Linked DNA regions of Danio rerio. The protein of the gene in region 1 purifies or fractionates together with the protein of each later gene. This does not show direct contact. Links are inferred from orthologs where the notes say so. Each region holds a gene or a part of one and is shown in the gene's direction. Other genes may lie near its edges.

Region 1 (3,500 bases):
TTAAAAAAATCAATTATGCAAGGTTCTTATAATTATGATTTATTAATTCGTTTTTTATTTCAATTATTACTGTTTAGTTTTAGTTTGTTTCATTAATGTTTGTTTTTTGGTTCGTTTTAGTTTAGTTTGTATCTTTAAACACACTTTTTATTTAGTTTTTATATATTTAGTTTCAGTTTTAGTTTTAATCATTTTAGTTTAACAGAGTTTAAAAAAAAATTACCTCTTGGTATTAAATGAAAGATTTGTTTGAAAAGACACCGAACCGTAAACCTTAAATGCAGATAAAACGATAAATCTTGATTTTAGAGATAATATATGTAGTTAAACATGCCTAGTTTACATTTGTCAAGGATTAAAAATACATGGAAGATTTTTATAATTAAGAAGGTATATATAATCATGTGCTTGACTGATGCGTTCAACTATAAAAGCCCCATCTTGAGGTACTTCTATATATTACAGCAGCTCAGATTTTCTGCCACAGAATGACTGCTTATTAATTCTAAAGGACATAAATATTTTTGCTGAGTTTTTTTTTTTTCACTTGTTTTTTTATGTGAATTTTTTGTTTTTCCATTGTTAATTACTTTCAGTTAACAAAAAATATTTTTAGATATTATTATTTATTAGACTAAAATAACCTTGTAATAATGACTGTTTTGTAAAACAACATTTTCAGCTCCATTTCATTTTCAGAAGTCAAATCTTGACATATAGTTCATAAAGGTTAACATTAGCAGAATCATCAAAGAAATGCTTGAACATTGGTACTCATTGGTTGGTTGTACTGTTTGGTCACGTCTCCAGGATCTGGTCAGTAATGGAGCTCAGGTGAGCATCTGCAACAAGTATGGAGAAACTCCAATGGACAAGGCCAAACCACCGCTTGCAGCAAATCTAAAAGGTAAGCACTCTCTCTTTATTTAATAATGCAGTAATTTGACATCAGCGGTGCTTTTGTATGATGTTTTTATTTTAACCTTGTGAAGTCTCAGAGATCTGTTTCTGTTAACATATTTTCCATTGTCTCTTATATCTATCACTGTTATGTTTATGAATCAGACCTGGCAGAGAAACAAGGACAGAGCCTGTCAAAAGTCCCTTACAAGGACAATTTCTGGAAAGGAACAACTCGAACACGACCACGTAAGCAAAACCTCTGAGTTTCGTTTACATTTTTAATGCAGATGCAAGCAGTTTATTATCATCTACTGTATCATTCTGCTTTCAAAGGTAAGGATTCATTAGTCTAAACTTACATTGAGCAAACAAATATCATAACATCTAAGTTGATAACTCACAGTTTATATATATATATATATATATATATATATATATATATATATATATATATATATATATATATATGTGCGTGCGTGCGTGCGTGCGTGTGTTTGTGTGTGTGTGTGTGTGTGTGTGTGTGTATATATACACACACACACACACACACACATATTTTTTTTTGTGAAACAAAATTATTTTCAAATTTGTAACATCCCATTCAAGTTCAAAAATGATGGCAGTGTTTTAAAAGTGACCACAATATTTAATTTGTCAGGGCTAAATTACACTACTAATGCTTTATTTTATTAAATATTACTCTATTCGTATTAATAAAAAATAATAAAATGAAAAAAAATTAACCTTGTTGTAAAGACTTTTTTTATAAAACAACAAATGCAAATAATAATACTTATAAAAATGTATAGATATATGTATGGATGTCAATTTCCAATAATAATTTTTAAAAAATTATTTATATTTTATATATATACACATGTACACAATATATTACACAATAATTATAAAAACTTATTATTTAATTAAAAATAATTTTATATTGAACTTAATGCTAAATGAAATATTATTGTGTATTCGTAAATATCTACAGTTTGTTTACTGTAGTGTAAGTGTTTTTGAATTATTATTATTTTATTTATTTATTTTCTTGCACTAGTTTTGTTGAATGGCCACATATACAGTTAAAGACAAAAATAAATGCTTGCCCTCCTGTTAAATAAATTATCTTTCCCAATTGATGTTTAACAAGCAGGGTCTAAGATATATTTTTACAGTTTTAATGGCTATTTTCTAGTAACTTTGCTGACTGTACATAATATTTTACTTGTATTTACTGTATATATACTAGTGTTTCGCCAGATACTTAACTGTGTTAAATAGGTTAAGGCAAGTTAGTTTAATTAGGCAAGTTATTGTAAAACAGCACTTTATTCTGTAGCCTATCAAAAAATACTAATTATTTTGGGGCTTACAATATTTACCATAAAGTTTTTTATATTTGTGAATATTATTTTTTGAATTTCAGCCAAAAATGAAAAAAATAAAAGACTTTTTTCCCAAAAGAAAAAAACTAAAATGAAAAATAATGAAAAATTCACAGAATTAATAATTTAGTCTTCAGTTGTATATTGCCTTATCTTATTAACTAAGGTTTGTTGCTATGTTTTTTTAACATTATTTTTTTTCCTGCAGGTAATGGCACACTAAACAAGCAAGCTGGCATAGATTATAAGCAGCTTAACATGCTGAACAAGATCAACGAGAACCACTCCGGCGAGGTGAGCTCATTTACCAAACCAAAGCAAACTTTAATAAGTATCCTGGCCAAGTCTGAGAGTGCTGATGACGGAAACACTGATGCCTCTGCTTTCTCTCTTTCTCAATCGCTCTCTGGCAGCTGTGGAAGGGCCGCTGGCAGGGCACAGAGATTGTGGTCAAGATGCTGCATGTGCGGGAATGGACCACCAGAAAGAGCCGAGACTTTAATGAGGAGTACCCTAAACTAAGGTGAAGAACCAATAGTCCTGTGTGGTCACATTACACAAATTAAAAAGACAGTTTCCCTCAAAATGTGTAAAATAATGAATGACATACAGAACCACAGTTATTATATTATAATATTATTTTTATTATATTTAAATCAATATTTATATGAATAATATAAATCATTTTTAAATGATAATATTGTTTTAATTAATTTGTTATAAAGATAATAATAGTAATAAAGTATATTATAATATCTTTAAAAAATGTTAAAAAGGGCACATTTATCACATTTGGCTGCTAGTTATTGCGATAATGACAAATCATTGTCTGTTTTTGGGCTTTGCAGTTGTTTTAATGTACTTTTTTTTCTTCTCTAACTGTAATACATGAATATTTAGATTTGGAAAAAAATGAAGAGATCATTTGAAAATTCTCAGTTTTTATTAGTTATTTAAGTAAAAGTTAATATTTGTTTTATTGATAAAGATCTGATAATATTTATTCCAAATTTCACATATAAATATAGTAACTTTGTAATGTGTATTTTTGTAATAATAGTATTATTAATTATTACATGATATCAATAATAATGTTCACAGTTGTTTTTTTCTTCTGGTTAAATTTCTTTAAAATAATTTGTGAAATTTCTTTTAAAATAATTTTATTCATTTATAAGTCAAAAACCTTCATATTGTATATTCCTACTTTCA
Region 2 (2,002 bases), on another chromosome or scaffold:
ACTTTGTAACACAAGTTCTGCTCAGACCAGGAGCGTCTGATCTTACTGGGAGTTTTAGGTGAGGCATGTTTATAAAGAAATCAGTCTTATTACTTCTCATAAACTGTATTGTCATTATAAATAACGTGTTCTTTGTTTTAGGCTCTATAAGAAAGAGGTTCTGGAAAAACTAGTGGAGCAGTGTGTGTCAAAAGGCTATGTGTTCCAGATGGAGATGATTGTCCGGGCCAGACAACTGGGCTATACAATTGGAGAGGTCAGCACATCTCTTTCCACATTTCCTATGAATGCAGTTATTGCCAGTTATTTAAAAAATGGTTTAGATATATTTGTGTAATACTTGGACTATAGTGGCATTTTGCTCTGGGTAGTTACTGAAACTAACTGCTAGGCCCTGTTCATCGAAAACGTATTTCCCCACTGCCAGCAGGAAATCTAAGGTGATGTAAGCCATGCTGACAGTGACATCAAAATAACAAAGATGTTTCATGATAATGCAGATTATGTCAAGGCTTTTATATCAAAGTTGATATTTGGTCGCATCATATTGGTGTTTGGAAACATCTAGTTTTTAGGATATGAATTGTTAGCTCAATGCTCAACCCCCAATCTGAAGGATCAGGACATACACGCATACACTACAGACAAATTACCTTACCCAATTCACCTACAGCACGTGTTTGGACTGTGGGGGAAACCCACACGAACATGAGGAGAACATGCAAACTCCACTCAGAAATGCCAACTGACTTAGCCGAGACTGAAACTAGCGACCTTGCTGTGAAGTGGCAGCACTAACCACTGTACCACCGTGTTGCCCATATTATGTGAATGTGTATTCAAATTCTCTGCCAGGGTTTACATCACTGTAGCTGCTATTTTGATGGATTACACCCTGATCTAATCCAGGAGCTAATTTAGTCCAATAAAACAGTGTTGTTTAACTTAAATCATTCCCAGTTCCTACAGTGCGAACACTCCAGAAACCATGTTATGGTTCTAGGAACTGTGAAAAAGTGTAAAAGCCTCTTATTTTGTAAGCTGGAAATTATGAGTCACTGTACTATATTTAATACAAACACTTTTGTTTTTCATTCTGTTTCATAGTAGCAGAATGGTTTATTTGATCGATTTCTTAACGTAGCTTTTTTTTTTTTTTTTTGTCTGTTATTCAGGTTCCCATTTCATTTGTGGACCGTGTTTATGGAGAGTCCAAATTAGGTGGAAATGAAATCGTCTCCTTCCTGAAAGGACTGCTCACTCTTTTTGCCACTACATGACCTTTGACCTATTTGGTTGCATTTAGTGTTGTGATGTATGATCAGCGCTTATTATCACTGCAGTGGAGCGAGAAGCTAGAATAATTACTTGATTACCAAGTAATGAGGTCATTATGCTTGGATTTACCACGTTCCTTCTACTTAGTTTTGTTAATTACTAGGCAATGTTTAGAAATGTACATTCAAATGTTCTGAATTGTAATAAAAGGACCAAACTGAGAGCTAGTTTTTGAAGTACTAACACTTATTTCATATGAACTATGTTTTTAGGCTATAAAAAGCATCATTGTGGTTCTATTAAGAAATGAACTCATCCCTACAAACTGGATTCATTCAATGACTGAAATGTTCTTCTCAAAATGCTTCTCAAACTGAATTTCTGTGAAAACCCTTTAAATATTCATTTGAGCATTCACATGTATTGTTTTGTACCTTTACGAATGGCAATAGAGATGTCTTAAAATAAAAAAAATATTGTTCCAAAATCATTTTGGTTATAAAAAGGTATTTTAACCAATTGATATAAAATAATTTATGACAATACTTTGGATTTAAAATGAATCAAATTGATGAGGCTGAATTATAAAATAGGTCACTCATCAGTCAATGAAACAGGAAAACAGTATGCCACATCCCATGATCCACTGCCATCAATTTCCGATCTGTCTCCTCCCTCACAGTCAGGATTGCCCATTCACTTTGGGTTTAGAGTGCCCAAATGA
Region 3 (3,500 bases), on another chromosome or scaffold:
GAGCTAAAGCACATCTGATTAATAACAGCTACAATCTATAATAGCAGTGCTGAGCCTGCCTAACCATTTCTCCACTTTAACATACAGCATATATACAGTGTTGGTAACCATCTTATTATTTTCTTATGTTTAATCGAACACTCAGTTATGCAAGAATAAGTGACTGATTTTAGTTGTGTCTTACAGGGGATGCGATATTTCAGATTATAGTGAGCATTTCTTTTGTCAGTAGTTCTGATTAGAAGTTGAAGTGCTTTTTGATGTTATAAAATGTTGATTTTTTTGGCAGAAGGGAGAAACAAAGTTTTGAATGCTTAAAGGTGCATGTCCACCGAAGTGTTTATTTTCTCAGGTTTATGGCAAGTGCTGAGAACTTTCAGTTTTTTAAAGGTCTCGTGAAATGATTTGAAATGTGCATTTTCATTCAGTTTAACGCAATCTCAACCAGTACATGAAGAGGGATGGTACACAGTGTAGCTTCTCCCCTTTTAAATAGCAGCTAATAGCATTTTTACCTCTTATCACCTCTGTGCCACTAAGAGAGGTTGAGCTCAACTCCATCAAATGTGAAGCATCTTGAAGGGGGTGGGGCATGTCAGAAACTAGATAGCATTCGATTGATCCAGATTTGATGAGAAACTGAAGTATGAGGTGACATGAGATTTTGGCGGAAGTGACAAACAAGTTTTACATATTTGTATCAGTTTTTATCTTCAAATGTGAATGTGTCACTGTTTTGGTGCACACTAGCTTGTAGATGTCCTAAAAACTAATAATACTGATTCTAACAACTAAACTTTATTTTAAATCCATGGGACCTTTAAAATCTCCAATAATTGGAAAAGCAAAATGCAATAATTGAAGTGCTCAACTGAGGTCGCTGACATTTTCAGCTTCGTGAAAACTCAACAGTGGACGGGCGCACTAAAGGTGCATCCCAAATCGCATACTTATGCACTATTCTTTGCCATTTTGTAGTATAGTGCAAGTAGTGCGTTTACACTGAACTCTAAGATTAAGTGTACCTAAATACCCAGACGATGCACTTATTCAACCGTTCAAATCAAGTGTGAAATGTTGGACACTTGGTAACGGAAGAGGTGGAGCTTTCAAGCACTGTTATTGGATTACTTTATTTTAGATTGTAAAAGCAAAATTCTTCTATGAGAGTAATTGTAGCGCCTCCCAATGGTGAATGTGGTTATGCTCATAGCAGGTATTATTTGGTAGTTTGACTGTCAAACGTCATCTGTAAAACTGTTTCAATTTCTGCTTAGTAAAAAACTTTAGTGTTCCATTTGAGAAGACATTACATGCATATACTATGCTGTAGAGTGTGTAACTGCATAAGTACATAGTGCATAAGTGTAATGTGTATAGTGTGCCATTTCAGAAACAGCTACAGTTTTCTAAAGTAAATTATGGCATTGTTTTGGAGCACCCAAGCTTTTTTATATTTGTGCATATTGCACAAAAACTTGCATATTTCTTACACTAGTTATACTAACACCTCAAAAAAAATCAATGACCGGTCTGTCCTATAATTTTTTAAGTTAATGTTTTAAGAAATAATGTTTTATTTTTTAACAGTACTACATCATTGAAGTCAATGCCCGTCTCTCTCGAAGCTCTGCATTGGCCAGTAAGGCCACAGGTTACCCGCTGGCCTACGTGGCTGCTAAACTCAGCTTGGGAATCCCTCTGCCCGTGCTCAAGTGAGTTCTTTTATTAACATTTGCTGTTTTATTGACTCTAACTGCACATTTGTGTATTGTTATCTTGTTGCAAGTTGCTTATAAGTGATTATTTTCCAGAAATTCAGTGACTAATTCCACAACCGCCAACTTTGAGCCCAGTCTGGATTACTGCGTGGTGAAGGTTCCTCGCTGGGATTTAAGCAAGTTCCTCAGAGTCAGCACTAAAATAGGCAGCTCCATGAAGAGTGTTGGTGAGTTTTTTTTGTGTGTGTTTTTGGTCCTACACTCTTATCAATTGGTGAAGCTTTTTCCTCGTCATTGGCTATTTTTGGTTTAGAACTGCATATCATTGGATTCAGGGTTTTGGCTTTTCAGCAGTGAACCTTACAATGCACTAAACTGAACTTCAACTGGCAAAACTGGACTAAAGCAGTTTCAATTTACTAAAACTTCCATGTTAAGCTGCTTTGACACAATCAGCATTGTAAAAGCACTATAGAAATGATGAATTTAATAGAAAAAAATAGCAGGATAAATATGTATTATGTTGAGTCTCTAAATGTTTCACTAGCAAAGGAAAAGTATCAATGTATTAAAACAAGATTATGAATTTTAAGATTGTAAAATTTTAGCCTGTTCCCTTTGCCATTGAGAAGGTGCTATCTGTGCTGAACACAAGTATCCAGTATATAGAGAACTCATCCAGCACTCTCTTTCATCTCAGGAGAAGTGATGGCCATCGGCCGCAGCTTTGAAGAGGCCTTCCAGAAAGCTTTGAGAATGGTAGATGAGAACTGCGTTGGATTCGATCACACCATCAAGCCAGAGTCGGAAGAGGTGGGTACTTAAGTTTCAAAACTTTAATCTTACTTCCAAAGGAGATGCATGTTTTTTGTGCATTAGGCTTGTAAACAAATGCATAAAACTTAACTATAGAATATTTTGTCTTGTTTCTCAGGAGTTGCAGACTCCCACAGACAAGCGCATCTTTGTTCTGGCAGCTGCTCTGCATGCTGGATATACAGTAGAGCGGCTCTATGAGCTGACCAAGATAGACCACTGGTTTCTGCATAAGATGAAGAACATCGCAGACCACAAGAAGCTTCTGGAGACGTATAAGCAGGATGAGAGTGCAATGCCTCCAGAAATCATGAGGAAAGCCAAGCAACTGGGCTTCTCTGACAAACAGATCGCTCAAGCTGTGCAAAGGTAGGAATGTACTATTATTACGTGTGTGTGTGTGCGGGTGTGTGGGTGTGTGTGCGTGTGTGTGTGTGTGTGTGTGGTGGTGCAGTGGGGGGGGGGATAATAAATTTAAATTCATGCAAAATATTGGAAAAAGTTACATAGTAAAGCATTTCAACTAAATTGTGTACATTTTGTTTCTTTTAAATTTTACTCGTAAATAATATGTTACAAGATATTTTTCAAAACACTTCTATACAGCTTAAAGTGAAATTTAAAGGCTTTACTAGGTTAATTAGGTTAACTAGGCAGGATAGGGTAATTAGGCAAGTTATTGTTTAATGATGATTTGTTCAGTTGACTATAAAAAAAAAACTTAAATGGGCTAATAATTTTGGCCTTAAAATTGTGTTTAATAAATTAAACACTGCTTTTATTCTAGCCATAATAAAGCAAATAAGACTTTGTCCAGAAGAAAAAATATTATGAGACATACTGTAAAAATTTCCTTGCTTTGTTAAACATCATTTGGGAAATGTTTAAAAAAGAAAAAAAATTCAAAAGGGCTAATAATTCTGACTTCAACTGTAGCTGCAAGGTTTCAGATTCAGCAGAGCA
Region 4 (3,500 bases), on another chromosome or scaffold:
TGGGAATCATCCCGAACTTTACTGTAAACTCGATCTTTTTTATTTACCCGAGTGTGTGCTTGCTTAACTGAAATGGTGTAGCCTCTCGCTGACATTTAGATGCCATTAGGTTGTACATTAAACATTATTAAATCGGTAACATGATCATGGCATTCATTTTCGTGAAGAGTTGTTTCATTTTAGCTGCGGCTGCAGTCTAGCTGGCCTGATCCAACTCCCGCTAGGATCATGTGCGCTGTCTGCGTCTGCCGCTTTCGCCATGACAACAGCCATTTACAGTGTACCTCTACCACGAAACAAAAACTGCTTCATTCAGGATGGGATTTTTTTCTTACTGTAATGATGTAATGATACTGTAGTGTTATAATCTCCGCTTAACAGGGAGTCGCATTCTAAAGAAACTGCCTTGAAATGAAGCACACTTTTAATTTTGACATACATTTTTAGCTTTATAATTCCTAGCTTAACTTTATGTGAGTTAACAGAGCCATGGGATTAAATGCACATTTTTCAAAATTGCACATTATTATTTGCCAGTCATATGTCATTACTTATTTACTCAGTGCTATACATCTGAGCACCATGTACTGTAAAAACATACTACACCTGTAAAGCTTGCTATAGACTGACATTGCAAAGTGAACTTAAACTATTTTAAGCCCATGTAACGATTTAATTGCATGAAACTGTTCAGCAGACTAGGTAAAAAGCCGTGTAGTTTACCATGTTAAAATAAACAGATTGCAAAACAATTGCAAAGTCTTACATTTGCAGTAGTCTACTGTTCTTGCCAACACATAATTCTACAAATTGCTTATGATACAAATAAACAATGCATATCTAATTTTTGGTCTTCAATGGAAAAGCTTTCAATATTTTATTCAATATTTTATTCAATATTTTTATTCAATATTTTAATAACTGTTTTTTTTTTATTTTATTTTAAGTTTGAATATTTTATATAAATAAATGTGTACAATATTTAATTCAATTACACTCAAATTAACCCAAATATATTTTAGTCAACTAAATCTAGAGTAGATTTAGTCGACTAAAATCTTATGAAATTTAGTTGACTAAAGCTAGACTAAAACTAAAATGAGTCAAAAGACTACGACTAAAACTAAATAAAAATTTGCAGTCAATTTTTTTTTTTTATTTATTTTTGGCCTTTTTGCCTTTATTAGATAGGACAGTATTGAGACAGGAAGCGAAGTGGGAGAGAGATAGGGGGGGTAGGGAAATGTCGCCGAGTCGGGATTCGAACTTGCGACGACCTGACGTGCTATTGCACCATATGTCGGCGCGCTAACCACTAGGCTATCACTAGACTTTTCCTATTTTCTCCATTTGTCTAGTCTCTTGTCTCATTTGGGCTCTACCTGTCTTTATTCTTTTCTGTCTGTTCTTTTTTTTTGTCTCTTTTTTTGTCTCTTGTTTCTTTTCTTTCTCCATCTCATCTCGTCTCTATACAAGGCGAGTGTTTTTATATTGTACTTTAGCACCTTGTATGGTAACGTCCTGACTTCCTTGTTTCGTCATCGTGCCTTTTCTCATTTTGACTCCTTGTCTTTTCTTGTTATGTCACCATTTTTTTGTTTTGTTCATTGTTTCATCTTGTGGGGTCTTGTTTTGGTTCATTGATTCTTATTTTGTCTACTTGTGGGTTGCCTTATTTTGTGTCTTCATTTCTCATTTTGTCTCCTTGTGACTCATCTCATTGTGGCAATGTTTCTCATTTTGTCTTCTTGTTTTTCCATCTATTTTTTTAATTTCTTGTTTTGTCTCTTTGTGTTTTATTTTATTTTGTCTATTCATTTCTCAACTATTCACTCGTCTTTGCTCCTAATTTCTCATTTTGTCTCCTTTTGACTCATCTCATTTTTTTCTTTGTTTTTGTTTTGTTTCTTTGTCTCTCATCCTTGTCTCCTCTTTTCTCAATTTGTGTCCTTGTTTTTCATCTCATCGTTTAATTACTTGTTTTGTCATATTTTGATTTCATGTCTTTTTGTCGTTTTGTCTCATCTCATCTTTTCTCATCTTGTCATCTCATTTTGTATACTTATAACTCTTCAAAATTTTTTCTTGGTTTATTATTTGGCTTCTTGTTTTTCATCTCATATGTTCTCTTCATTTCTCTTTTTGTCTCCTTGTCTCAGTTCCTTTTGTCTCTTCTTGTTTATTAATGTCTCACCTCATCCCATCTTGTCTCATTTTCTCTTTTGTCCACTTGTCTCTTCTCGTTTCTTGTTTTGTCTCTTCACCTATCATCGCCTTTATCTCATGACTTTCTCTCATCTCATGCCTTATTTTGTTGTACATTTAATCTTAAATGTTATCTTCTCATATTCTTTGTTAATTAGTTTATTAGTTTAGGACTTTTTATTTCTTTCTTGTTTTGTTAGGTTTTTTCTCTTTTTTCATTACATCTCAACCTTTGTTCTCTCATCAATACTTTGGTTGATCTCGGATCTTTTTCTTTTTTTTTTGCAATTTCATCTAATTTAATCTCTTCATGTCTCATATTGCCATCTTGTTTTGTTTATCTCATCTTATTAACCCTTATCAGGTTGCTTCTCTGGTTTCTTTTCTTTTTCTTTTGTCTGCTCTTTCTTTTCCAAATTTTCTCTCATGCCATTTCAATGCTACTTATATTAACTTAATTCTTTGAATCGTCTTATTGCTCATGTCTTCACCTTCTTGTCTGATCTGACCTCCCCTACCACTTACACTTTTTTAAATTAAAATGATTATTTAAATCTCTCTCTCTCTCTCTCTCTCTCACTCTGTGCCTGTAGGTAATTTGGACCTGACGGGACCCAAGCAAGTGTTTAAGGCTGAGAATAACTCCTGGGTGACTCCCATCGCAGACCAGTTCCAGCTGGGCATTTCTCATGTCTTTGAGTACATCCGCTCCGAGACCTACAAGTAGTAAGTGAATCTCTCCATTCCTCTTCGCTGAGTTTAAACGTCCAGGAGCATGTGCTGTGAATCGGAGTTACACAGACAATACAGTAGCTCAGTGTTTAGGGATTGTACTTATTCATATAAAGGTTGAAGGTTTAATCTCTAGTACTGGTGACCTAGACACTGTCAAGTTTTCCATTTGTCCGTGAAAAATTACTGACCGAAAAATGTTCGTCATTATCACACAAAATATCGATACTTTGCACCTTTTCACCAAACAAACCCAGAGCAGAACGTTTCTAAGGTTCTTATGTACAATTTAGTTTTGTTGGTGAATGAATCTGCATTTTTGAATGAATCATTTAAAAAAGTAATTCATTGTCGCAGTTTTTTGGAATGCATATTTTAAAAGAATGACTCAAATGACTCACTCATTAAAGCTGCAATTTACTGGCACCTATTGTTGGATTTAGTTTAATATTATTTTTTAAATAGTCCTATAATTTCTTTCTCTCATCTCATGAATCTCATGAATGAATGTTTTTGAATGAGTCATTTAAACAAGTGATTCAATGTCCCAGATGTTTTTAGTT
Region 5 (3,500 bases), on another chromosome or scaffold:
TTCACTTCAGTCAGAACTTCAGGGAAAATGTTTGATTACTGATACAAGTAATAATTAAATAAACATTAATAAAATACTAATTCAAGCAAATGATTGCAGATCCACCAAAAATATGGCTAAATAAAACACAATGCCCTCTGCAATGTTGCTTTCATATCCATGTGTTGATCTGTGTAGCTCAGGATGCATGCTCATTTCTATTGAATATGTTGAAATTGTGTTGAAATAGGTGAACGTGCGAGCAGGAATGACGCTGCGCAACTGTCTCATCAAAGCCCTGAAAGTTCGAGGTCTTCAGCCTGAATGCTGTGCTGTTTTCAAGCTTCAGCGGGAACATTCTGCGTAAGTTCTGAAATATGAAATAAAATAATACAATGAGAGCGACCCACATGTGTGATATCATTAACAGCAGTGTCTATCATGCATTTACTGTTTGGATGAAGCCATCAACATGAAGGACGTAAACATTTATTAACCCCCCTGTAATAAATAATAAAATAAATACAATTGAACATTATATTAATACAGATCTTTATTGGCTGATGGATGCTCATTTTCCAGTATAGTACTCAGTTTCTCTAGATCATATATCAAAAATAAATTAGCCTAAAGGGGCTAATAAAATTATCCCTAAATGGTGTTTAAAAAATTAAAAACTGCTTTTATTCTAGCCAAAATAAAACAATCAGACTTTCTCTAGAAGAGAAAATGTTATCAGACATACTGTGAATATATATATATATATATATATATATATATATATATATATATATATATATATATATATATATATATATATATATATATATATTCTGTATAAGTATACGTATTCTGTACGGATGTTTTATTTTTCTATTTTATTTTATTTATTTTTATTTAAATTTTTTTTTTTTAGAATTTATTCATTTTAATTACATAATTATTTTTATTTATTTATTATTATTATTATTATCATTAGTAATTTTTATTTATTTAGGTTTTCTTTGTTAAATAAATATAATTTTAATTTGTGCTGGGGTGGGAATAATATTTGTTAAAAAAAAAAAATATATATATATATATATATATATATATATATATATATATATATATATATATATATATATATATATAATTTTTTTAAATTAAACTTTTACAGATTTATTTATTTATTGACAGATTATTCCTAAATATATTTTCATATTTGACCATATATATATATATATATATATATATATATATATATATATATATATATATATATATATATATATATATATATATATATATATATATATATATATATATGTATGTATATGTATATATGTATATATGTATTTATGGCCAAATATGAAAATATACAGTAAATAAAGTTAATATTTAGTACATTCGAAGCAATATGTTCATATGTGTAATTATAATGATTTAAAATTAATATGCAAATTGCATTTGCATTTCTATATTTGCTGTGGAATTGCAGCAGTCACAGTCATCCGATAAAACCACATTTATATTAAATAACCACATTTAGGTTATTTAATAACCGCGACAGCCCTACTGCAGGGATATTCTGAATGAGTTGTGCATGTGCTAAATACTGATTGAATATAGTACATATGTTGTACATTTATAGAATGTGTGTGTGGTCAGATCAGTATGTCTAGTATGTTAACATGTGTAGGTTTTAAAAACTGCTCTTACGTCCAGTGTTGTGTTTATATTCATGATTGTTTATGTTTAGACTAATGCTGCGCAAAGATTAATTGCATCCAAAATTGAAGTTTGTTTTGACATGATATATATAATGTGTGTGTATGATGTATATTTATAATGCATGGAAACCAAACTATACAAAACTATGTTGTTACATAAATATTAAAATTCATGTATAATTTGTAAGGTAAACATTTATATAGCATATCTAAATATAAATAAACATTTTCTCAAATGTATGCATGCATGTGTGTCTTTATATACACACAATACATATGCACAGCACACACACTTACATGGTCAAAACAAACTTTTATTTCAGATGAGATTAATTGTGTTTAGTTTAGGCTCTGCACTAGTTTAGACTTGGCATATTGTTCCACCTTATATGCACACATGTAGCTGAATGACAATAACGCTTGACTTGAAGGGGGTGAATACTTATGCACACAAGTGTTCTGTGTTATTACCAGGACCTGATTATAAACCTGCATCTCAGAGTCCGTTCATGCTTTGTTTTCTGTGCAGTAAGAAGCTGCGCATGGACTGGAGCACTGATTCTACCTCACTGGTCGGAGAGGAGCTGCTGGTTGAAGTCTTAGATCACGTGCCATTGACCACGCACAATTTTGTGAGTTTCTGTAACGCATGTGAGTGGATGCGGTGTTCGGCATCGCTCTAACATTTGCCCGTCCTCTTCTCAGGTACGCAAAACATTTTTGAAGTTGGCCTTTTGTGACATCTGTCAGAAGTTTCTTTTGCACGGCTTCAGATGTCAGACGTGCGGATACAAGTTTCACGAGCACTGCAGCACCAAAGTGCCAACCATGTGTGTGGACTGGAGCAACATTCGCCAACTCCTGTGAGTATATATGTGTTCAGCATCGGCACCACGATGTGCAAATCCACATCGTCACATCGCAGCATCTGCAATGTCAGTTTATTCATCCTGTTGAAATCTGAGGGATTATAGTTGACCAGGAACCACACTGTATAGTCATTGGGAAGCTTAAACTTTTTTTTAACATATACATTATTGCACAGACAGGTAAAATATAGAAAAAACACAACAGACAACAATACAATGTCTGCATTTTTCCTTTTTTTTTTGTTAAGCCCAAGATCAAACTAGAACTATCCAACGTTACATACCCACACCCACCCACAAACCTCCCGGGAGAAATGAGAAATCTCTACAGACTCTTTTAAATGTACATGAAATAAACAGTGAAACTTTATATTAAAGTATATGGTCCATAAATGTCATAAAAATAACTAAAACAAAACTTAAAAAGGGGGAGGGGGGAAGAAAATAACATGAATATAATTCAGGGAGAATACTCACACAAGCAGATGGCACAGTCCAACATCAAGACAAGTTTACCCCTGACCATCTCAGTCAGAATCTAATGAGGCCAAAGAGTCAAAAACTGTGTAAATCGGGGTCCAAGTTTTATAGAATTTGTCAGAGGAGCCCTGAAGGGAGTACTTACTTCACTTTTGGGGAAGTTTAACCTTAATAAATTGCTTGTTTGCCTCATTTTTATGGCCTGTAGCTTCACGAATTCAAGTAGGTGCATATGAAATTATAGCATTTGTAGTTTTATCAAAGATTAATTGTATGTACGTTTTTATACAACTATGCAGTGTTTTTTATTTACATTGAATTAATAGATTTCTGTACCTGAATGCAATTAGACTCTGCAGAAAACCATAAAGCACTGTCTGTGTTTCATTTTTACTGATTAATGGTCATACTAAATCATCCCAATCAACATAAAATTATGAATTATTTCCTAATTTATCTG
Region 6 (3,543 bases), on another chromosome or scaffold:
CCAAATTGTAAATAAAAATAATAATAAAAAAAAAAAAAAATATATATATATATATATATAATTTTATTTTTTCATTTATTTATTAAGATAATACTGTTTAATAAAATCTTATTTTATATTTGGAAAAATGTCATCAGTAGTTTATGGAATAAAACTATTCTGTTTTTCTCAAATATAAATTGTAAATCCAGAGAAGTCTCTTAATTTTTACCCTTTTTCCAACTTTTGCTAGTATCACTCTTCCTAATAAATCAGATGTATCATTATTCTTCTGTATCTGATTTTCTTGCTAACTGCTGTTTATCTGCAGAGCTCTGATTGCTGGCGGTGGAGCACCAGAGATCGAGCTGGCGCTGCGGTTGGCCGAATACGCCCGCAGTCTGGGCGGCATGGAGGCATACTGTGTGCGAGCGTACGCTGATGCCCTTGAGGTCATTCCCTCCACGTTGGCAGAGAACGCAGGACTCAATCCCATCTCCACTGTCACCGAGCTGCGCAACAGACATGCTCAGGGTGAAACGACAGCCGGGATCAACGTCCGCAAGGTGATGCTTTAAACCAGTAGATCTGTATATTCGCTTGTTAAGTCACGACATATACAGTTTCCAGGTCTTAGCTGCTACTTATTTGAATTGAGAATGTTTATGACCACTTTTTAGTCATACCCATTGGCATCATCCAATCAGATTGCTTTTATCAATACTAGTGCAAACGCCAGCCAATCACGTTCATCAGAGAGTACTGATGTGTTAAAATAGACACCATGGCTTTAAAGGACAAAACAGCATTTCGAGCACATTGTAAAACATCAGAAATGTTGTTAAGGTCTTTCTAAAATCCCTCAGCCAAAGTCTGTCATTACAGTGGTTCAGTATTATTATTACCCCCAGCACTGTCTTGAGCATCTCAAACCTCCAATGGTGTTTCGTCTTCTGAAGCCTGGTTTATACTTCTGCGTCAAGTGACCGGCGGAACCAACAGCGCATGCAGTGCGCGTAGCTGTGCATTTATACTTCTGCGCGCTGTCTCGGTTGGTCTGCATTAACACTTCCAAAACGCTAGTTGGCAGTAAGGTGTAAATGTGTCTCTGTGATGAGTTTCTTCGCTGGTGTTTTGTACTTTCTGAATGCTTCCGGGATGTACAAGTGGCTCAAACTCGCTCATTTTGAGGCAGAAACCGGCGAACGTGCAACAACTTTAACTATGAGGTAAACACAAAACAAAACTTTCCATCCGGAGCTCCTTCACGGGACTCCACACTTGTAAACAATTGCTCCATCAAGCTCTCGGTCCCGCCTAGACTCGACAGCGATACCAAGCCGACCAATCATAGAGCTTCCGCTATGCATCGTTGCGACGTGTAGTTAAACTTTTTGAGAGGAGCACGTCAGCGACGGCCACAGCGTAGGGCTATGCGTTGACGCGTAAGCTGCGCTGTAGCATATGCGTGCGTTTGACGCAGAAGTATAAATCAGCCTTGAGGCGCAACTCTTATTATATCAGAAAAAAGGCCCCCAGTTTATCAGGAAGTGTACTGTGTTTCTACAGAAATGTGAGTGTCTGATGTGTTTTTCCTCTTAGGGGGGCATTTCCAACATCTTGGAGGAGCTGGTGGTTCAGCCTCTGCTGGTCTCCATCAGCGCTCTGACCCTCGCCACTGAAACGGTCCGCAGCATCCTCAAGATCGACGATCTCGTGAGTCACGCTTTACATCTGATGTGCAAATCTGTCTAATTGGGATATAGCCAGAAACACAGTTCAGGATATTCAAAGTTTAACTCCAATAATACGAAAGATGTGTTGTTAAGGACTGTGACTGTACGACATCAAGTGAATTTAAACCATTTGGGCACAATAAGTTTGGTGCTTTAACAAAGATTAATTATGTTTAATTATTTAATAGACTAAAGTAAAGACTATGCAGTATTATTTTACATTTGATTATTGAATTTTTATAGTTTAGTACTGTTAAAGTCCCTCTGAAAACCATAAAGCGTTGTTAATTTCATTTTTATTTTGGTTCTGTTGCTTTATTTTATTTTGCACATTTTATATTTTTTTCAGATTCACTCAACTACAAATAATTCTAGTCAATTTAAAATGAGCAATTCTTCCAAATAGTCATCTTGTGAAATAATGTTCATACCGCAGAAAAACAATATATCACAATGCCAGTTTTTTCCAATATCATGCATCCCTAACATACGGTAACATATAGACCTTTTCAATGTAGTCATGTCTTGGCCCATTAACATTTTCTGCTTGTTATTAAACTATTTCATAACTAACAAGAGGCAGTTCAATCATATCTTAATGTTAAAACGGGTATCATAACATTAATTATTAATATGTGGCTCTTTTTGTGTTCTTGAAATATATATAGAAATTAAACATGTAAAACAGGAAATATGTCGGGACCATTGTTTTTGTTTACATCTCTCAAAATGGTCTATTGACGTGTTTTCATAGTTCAAGTTCAGTTTGCTTTATTGGCATGCCATTTTATAAAGTATTGCAGAAGCATTTTTGATGTATGTGTATATATACAATGTAATATACACTTAAAATGAATGAATTTTGGTGTTTGTTTAAACTAAATTAAATTGAGCTGAAACAATTATTTTTATTTTTATTTTTTTGGGACAACTTGGTTGTTTTATGTTCAATCAACTTAACTTAATGAATTTGTGTTGGGACAACATGAATAAATTGCGTAGACCCTCCATTTATTACAGTGTAATACATTTGAAACAAGTGTATTTTGGATGTTTTATTTACTCTACGCATTGAGAAATCCTTAAGCTGATCATTGTATAAAAAATGGCTGTTGTGCCTCATCTTAAATGACCCTTAAATTAGCACTGATGTTGTCTGTAATTATCCAGCCATTAATGCCATGTCATTTGTTCTGCAGGTGAACACACGATAAAGTGTTTGAAGAAGGAAGATCCAAACCCCGCGCCGGCACTCCGATAAGACCAACTGATCTGTCGCTGTCTGTAGATGTTACCTGGAGTAATTTAATTAAACATGTTTTTTTTGACACTGTATGTCTTGTCTTTGGTGTTATTTGTGCACATGTTTTTGTTTCTGTTAGGTTTATTGAGGGTTTACTGTGGTCGGTGCATCTCTGCATGTCAGCTTAATCTTATTAGCTAATCACCTTATCTGATCAGAATAGAGCATTGCTCCAGGGCCTGAGAAAGTCTGAAATCAAGAGCTGGACATTCACTCTTCTAATAAACAACCTTTGTTTTTATTTTAGAAATGCGCTAGAGTGTTTTAACCTAATTTGCTAAACTTGGTATTTCCCTGTAACGTGATTTTAACCAGTATTTGGTCTGCTTTTAAATTTATGTAAGTACATTTTTCTGAACTTTTGAATTAAAAAAGAAGCTTATTTTGGTATGAGGATACGCATAATATTAATGGTTGGGTTTATACATTTTGGTAAATGTAATTTTAATGAGTGTATAATTTTTATTAATTACAGGAAATCTTGTAGCAACAAAATTGAATGCTGGTATTTTAGGACATGGCTCA
Region 7 (3,500 bases), on another chromosome or scaffold:
AAATGTGCTGTGATTAAAAAACGTAAGTAAACATGCGTACAAATCTAAAAAGCTCCAATGTGGTATGAATATATGGGATTTATATGTCTTTGTTTGGTTGCTAGTCTCTCTGAAAGTGTATCGTGTTAGTGGTCATCTGATGTTGTGTGTGTGTGTCTTTGTAGGGACAGGTTTCAGACACACTGAAGAGATTCGCTGTGAAAGTCACGTCATCCAGTGTTAAAGAGCGCAAAGAAATTCTTGGAGAACTGAAGGAATGTGTGAAGGGAAAGGGTGAGTTTACCTGTTGCTGGTGTGTTGTGTCAGATAAAAAAAAGATGTATATTTGTTTGCATTAATTAGTTGTGAAAAACAGTCTTTTTTGATCACCAAAGCTTTATGTATTGGTTTAATAAATGTGGTTCAGGATTTATTTATTATCTATTTTGAATAAATAATATTTTATCTGGTAAGGCACAATGATTTACGTTTGACTAATATGAGGTGAAATGCATTATGTGGGTCAAAATGACAATTGACAAAGTGTATCCCGGCCAGTAGCAGCAGCAGAGAAAAGGTGTTCAGTGCTGCTCAGTGAGCGAAGGACTGCACTAAAGCCATTTACAGTGGATTCAATAATGTTCCCCCACAAAACACATAACCTAATCTTGATGAGTAAAGAATTTCAAATTATAACTAAATATTAATAAAATCATAATGTATGCAGAGTGTACAGGCTAATGCTGGCATTATTCTTTTATTATTAAGCTTCACCATCGCATTATTGTGAAGTGAAGTGGCAAAACAAATCCCACTGAGCCTTTATCTTAATTTCGTTATTGCCAAAAATCCGTCATCATTTATCATTTATTTTAATTCATTTGCTAAGAAATACTTATTTTTATTGGTGTGTTGGCCAATTTAAACGTTAAGTGTATGTACCCAGGCCTATTTAGAGTGTTGAGATGTTAAGATGTTACAGGGGGCTTATTTTATTTTGTTTTTTCCAACTTGGCCTGTAGCCTATGTTATGGATAAGTAATGTTAACGCATATAAACAACTCATTCATGAAAAAGACAAAAGAGCTGTGCATGTACACATTTGGATAATGTCGGGCTATAAACGGGTTCGGGCTTTTAAAAAGCTGTCAATCAAAATGTACCTGTCGGGTTCGGGCTCTATCGGGCCTACCTTTCATAGCCTGATTACAGCTCTAGTTCAGACGCCCCCTCACAGTCAGCTATAACAGTTTCATTTCACCACCACACACCCAAAAGGCAGGTTATCTGCGGGTTATCCATACTGTGACGAGGCACAATTTATTTTAATCTAACGAAAACATTAAAATGAGTAGCCTATTCCAAAGAAATTATATAATATTTGGGTCTTAAATTATATTTGTTGAGGTCTTAAAAATGTCTTAAAAACATTAAATTTTACTTTTAAAATGGTGCAAGAACCCCGAGTTGTTTCTTGTACATGTCCTACTGTAAATAGATCAACAAGTTTTAAATGATTAATGCACATTGCTAAGTGCTTCGTTTAGACAAATTTGAAGGTGATTCATTCAGTAATTAGATCAGATGCAGCTTTGCTAAATATTCTTTAATTAATTTCCCTTCGGCTTAGTCTCTAATTTAATAGTGGTCGCCACAGCTGAATGAACCGCCGGCTATTATATGTTTATTTTATATTATATGCCATTACATATGCTTTACATAGCGGACACTCTTCCAGCCGCAACCAAGTACTGGGAAACACTCATACACACTCACATTCACACTCATAGACTACGGCCAATTTAGTTCATCCAATTCCCCTATAGTGCATGTGTTTGGACTGTCAGGGAAACTAGAGCACCCAGAGGAAACCCACGCCAACACGGAGAGAAAATGCAAACTCCACACAAAAATGCCAACTGGTTCAACTAAGACTCAAACCAATGACTTTCTTGCTATGAGGCGACTAACTAAATATCATCCTGTCCTATTCCATAGCATATTATTCTATAGTAAACATCAACGGAAAGCTTATTTATTCTGCTTTCAGATGATGTCTAAATCTCAGTTTCACAAATTGAACTCTTGTTGCTGGCTTTTGTGGTCCAGGGTCCACAAATGCACAAATGCAACCGTGATTTCATCAGTACTATTTAATCTTTTTTTTTTATTTTTTTTTTTTACAGTTTCTAATATTTGTTTTCTGTTAGAATATACTTTAAAATATATAAATATATATATTATATTTGTGACAAAAAATCTATTATTTAATCATCATTACTCCAGTCTTCAGTCTCACATGATCTTTCAGAAATCATTTTAATATATCTGTTTGATGCTTAAGAAACATATTTAGACGACATTTTATTTGAGCTGTTCTTGAGAAACAAATCCAAATGTATTTGGTGAAATAAATAAGTATTTAATTTGAATTCTTTGTGTTGTATTGTTTGTTCAGAGCTTCCAGAGCCGGCCATCAAAGGACTGTGCAGACTCTTCTATCTCACGCTGCACAGATACAGGTGAGTGTGTGTGTTTCTTCTCATCAAAATTCACAACATTCATTTATAAAGCACATTTAAACACAATTTAAGTGGTTTCAAAGTGCTATACAACGGTTTCCACAGGTCATGGCTTTTTGAAAGGCGTATTTTAGACATTGAGTTAGGGAATTTGTGTAGTTTTTGTCCAGGTGATAGAATATCGGGGATTTGGGTTTATTGTGTTAATTTTAGCATCTATCTATCTGTCTATCTATCTGTCTGTCTGTCTGTCCGTCCGTCTAATATATGACCAGGGTTCATACAGTCTTGAAATATCTGGAAATGTCATGGAATTTTGAGGCATTTCTTGGCATTTTCCTGGCCTAGAAAGGTTTTGGAAAATCTGAAAAACCCACAAAGTTTTGGAAAAGTCATGAAAATTAGTTTAACAATTATCTGTATACTTAAATATGAGTTAGTTGTCTTTACTTCTTTTCTGTCCTAGGCCAAACTCATGCTCTCACATTATTAGTACTGCGTGAGCATTATCTAAATACATTTTACGTATATAAAAGGATGAATTTAAACTAAATAACAGGGTGTCCGCGGTCTTAAAGTCTTAAATTTCAAAAACTAAATTTTAGACCCTAAAAAGTCTTAAATTCACTGAAATATTATGTTATGTGTCTTAAATGATTTTTTTAAACCGGTCTTAATTTCCCTCTGCTCAAGTAAAGCTACACATTCAGGCCAACATCCCCTCCAATCACAAACAATCCATCTTAATAAAACCTTTTTTTAAATATTTAGATTTAAATTTAAGTTTTTTTATTGCAAAGAGATGCAATTTACAGTAGCTGTTAGAAATATTTCACAGTAATTCCTCCAATTCCCAGGGAAAAAAAAACAAAAACAATAACAACAGTTCCTTATGAAAAAAACAGAGCAATATATCCTTTTATGTTGTTTTCGATTAATTCAAAAACTCTTTACTAAAGAGGGAGTAGACATAATATTTATGAATAGGCGTGAGCTTAA

The links.
Region 2: the proteins of ilk (region 1) and dpm1 purify together in Homo sapiens (affinity purification with mass spectrometry; 3 studies listed by BioGRID and IntAct, with this or other methods). This does not show direct contact. The link is inferred for Danio rerio from reciprocal best matches to the Homo sapiens genes ILK and DPM1.
Region 3: the proteins of ilk (region 1) and cad purify together in Homo sapiens (affinity purification with mass spectrometry; 4 studies listed by BioGRID and IntAct, with this or other methods). This does not show direct contact. The link is inferred for Danio rerio from reciprocal best matches to the Homo sapiens genes ILK and CAD.
Region 4: the proteins of ilk (region 1) and rsu1 purify together in Homo sapiens (affinity purification with mass spectrometry; 9 studies listed by BioGRID and IntAct, counting the BioPlex papers as one, with this or other methods). This does not show direct contact. The link is inferred for Danio rerio from reciprocal best matches to the Homo sapiens genes ILK and RSU1.
Region 5: the proteins of ilk (region 1) and raf1b purify together in Homo sapiens (affinity purification with mass spectrometry; 3 studies listed by BioGRID and IntAct, with this or other methods). This does not show direct contact. The link is inferred for Danio rerio from reciprocal best matches to the Homo sapiens genes ILK and RAF1.
Region 6: the proteins of ilk (region 1) and cct4 purify together in Homo sapiens (affinity purification with mass spectrometry; 4 studies listed by BioGRID and IntAct, with this or other methods). This does not show direct contact. The link is inferred for Danio rerio from reciprocal best matches to the Homo sapiens genes ILK and CCT4.
Region 7: the proteins of ilk (region 1) and gcn1 purify together in Homo sapiens (affinity purification with mass spectrometry; 3 studies listed by BioGRID and IntAct, with this or other methods). This does not show direct contact. The link is inferred for Danio rerio from reciprocal best matches to the Homo sapiens genes ILK and GCN1.

What each region holds. Positions count from the first base shown.
Region 1 is NC_133185.1:29,715,479-29,718,978, reverse strand, and holds part of ilk (integrin-linked protein kinase), read left to right. Parts: intron 1-810; coding exon 811-907; intron 908-1,065; coding exon 1,066-1,149; intron 1,150-2,496; coding exon 2,497-2,582; intron 2,583-2,701; coding exon 2,702-2,811; intron 2,812-3,500. UniProt on the Homo sapiens protein: Scaffold protein which mediates protein-protein interactions during a range of cellular events including focal adhesion assembly, cell adhesion and cell migration.
Region 2 is NC_133198.1:23,420,724-23,422,725, forward strand, and holds the end of dpm1 (dolichol-phosphate mannosyltransferase subunit 1), read left to right. Parts: coding exon 1-58; intron 59-141; coding exon 142-256; intron 257-1,175; coding exon 1,176-1,280; 3' UTR 1,281-1,502; downstream 1,503-2,002. UniProt on the Homo sapiens protein: Transfers mannose from GDP-mannose to dolichol monophosphate to form dolichol phosphate mannose (Dol-P-Man) which is the mannosyl donor in pathways leading to N-glycosylation, glycosyl phosphatidylinositol membrane anchoring, and O-mannosylation of proteins; catalytic subunit of the dolichol-phosphate mannose (DPM) synthase complex.
Region 3 is NC_133195.1:42,094,526-42,098,025, reverse strand, and holds part of cad (multifunctional protein CAD), read left to right. Parts: intron 1-1,590; coding exon 1,591-1,715; intron 1,716-1,814; coding exon 1,815-1,948; intron 1,949-2,421; coding exon 2,422-2,534; intron 2,535-2,655; coding exon 2,656-2,906; intron 2,907-3,500. UniProt on the Homo sapiens protein: Multifunctional protein that encodes the first 3 enzymatic activities of the de novo pyrimidine pathway: carbamoylphosphate synthetase (CPSase; EC 6.3.5.5), aspartate transcarbamylase (ATCase; EC 2.1.3.2) and dihydroorotase (DHOase; EC 3.5.2.3).
Region 4 is NC_133199.1:36,141,978-36,145,477, reverse strand, and holds part of rsu1 (ras suppressor protein 1), read left to right. Parts: intron 1-2,798; coding exon 2,799-2,931; intron 2,932-3,500. UniProt on the Homo sapiens protein: Potentially plays a role in the Ras signal transduction pathway. Capable of suppressing v-Ras transformation in vitro.
Region 5 is NC_133186.1:558,494-561,993, forward strand, and holds part of raf1b (RAF proto-oncogene serine/threonine-protein kinase), read left to right. Parts: intron 1-229; coding exon 230-342; intron 343-2,220; coding exon 2,221-2,323; intron 2,324-2,396; coding exon 2,397-2,554; intron 2,555-3,500. UniProt on the Homo sapiens protein: Serine/threonine-protein kinase that acts as a regulatory link between the membrane-associated Ras GTPases and the MAPK/ERK cascade, and this critical regulatory link functions as a switch determining cell fate decisions including proliferation, differentiation, apoptosis, survival and oncogenic transformation.
Region 6 is NC_133176.1:57,146,744-57,150,286, reverse strand, and holds the end of cct4 (T-complex protein 1 subunit delta), read left to right. Parts: intron 1-310; coding exon 311-545; exon of another isoform or gene 546-937; intron 938-1,482; exon of another isoform or gene 1,483-1,581; coding exon 1,582-1,695; intron 1,696-2,914; coding exon 2,915-2,929; 3' UTR 2,930-3,043; downstream 3,044-3,543. UniProt on the Homo sapiens protein: Component of the chaperonin-containing T-complex (TRiC), a molecular chaperone complex that assists the folding of actin, tubulin and other proteins upon ATP hydrolysis.
Region 7 is NC_133183.1:4,931,287-4,934,786, forward strand, and holds part of gcn1 (stalled ribosome sensor GCN1), read left to right. Parts: intron 1-164; coding exon 165-273; intron 274-2,437; coding exon 2,438-2,501; intron 2,502-3,500. UniProt on the Homo sapiens protein: Ribosome collision sensor that plays a key role in the RNF14-RNF25 translation quality control pathway, a pathway that takes place when a ribosome has stalled during translation, and which promotes ubiquitination and degradation of translation factors on stalled ribosomes.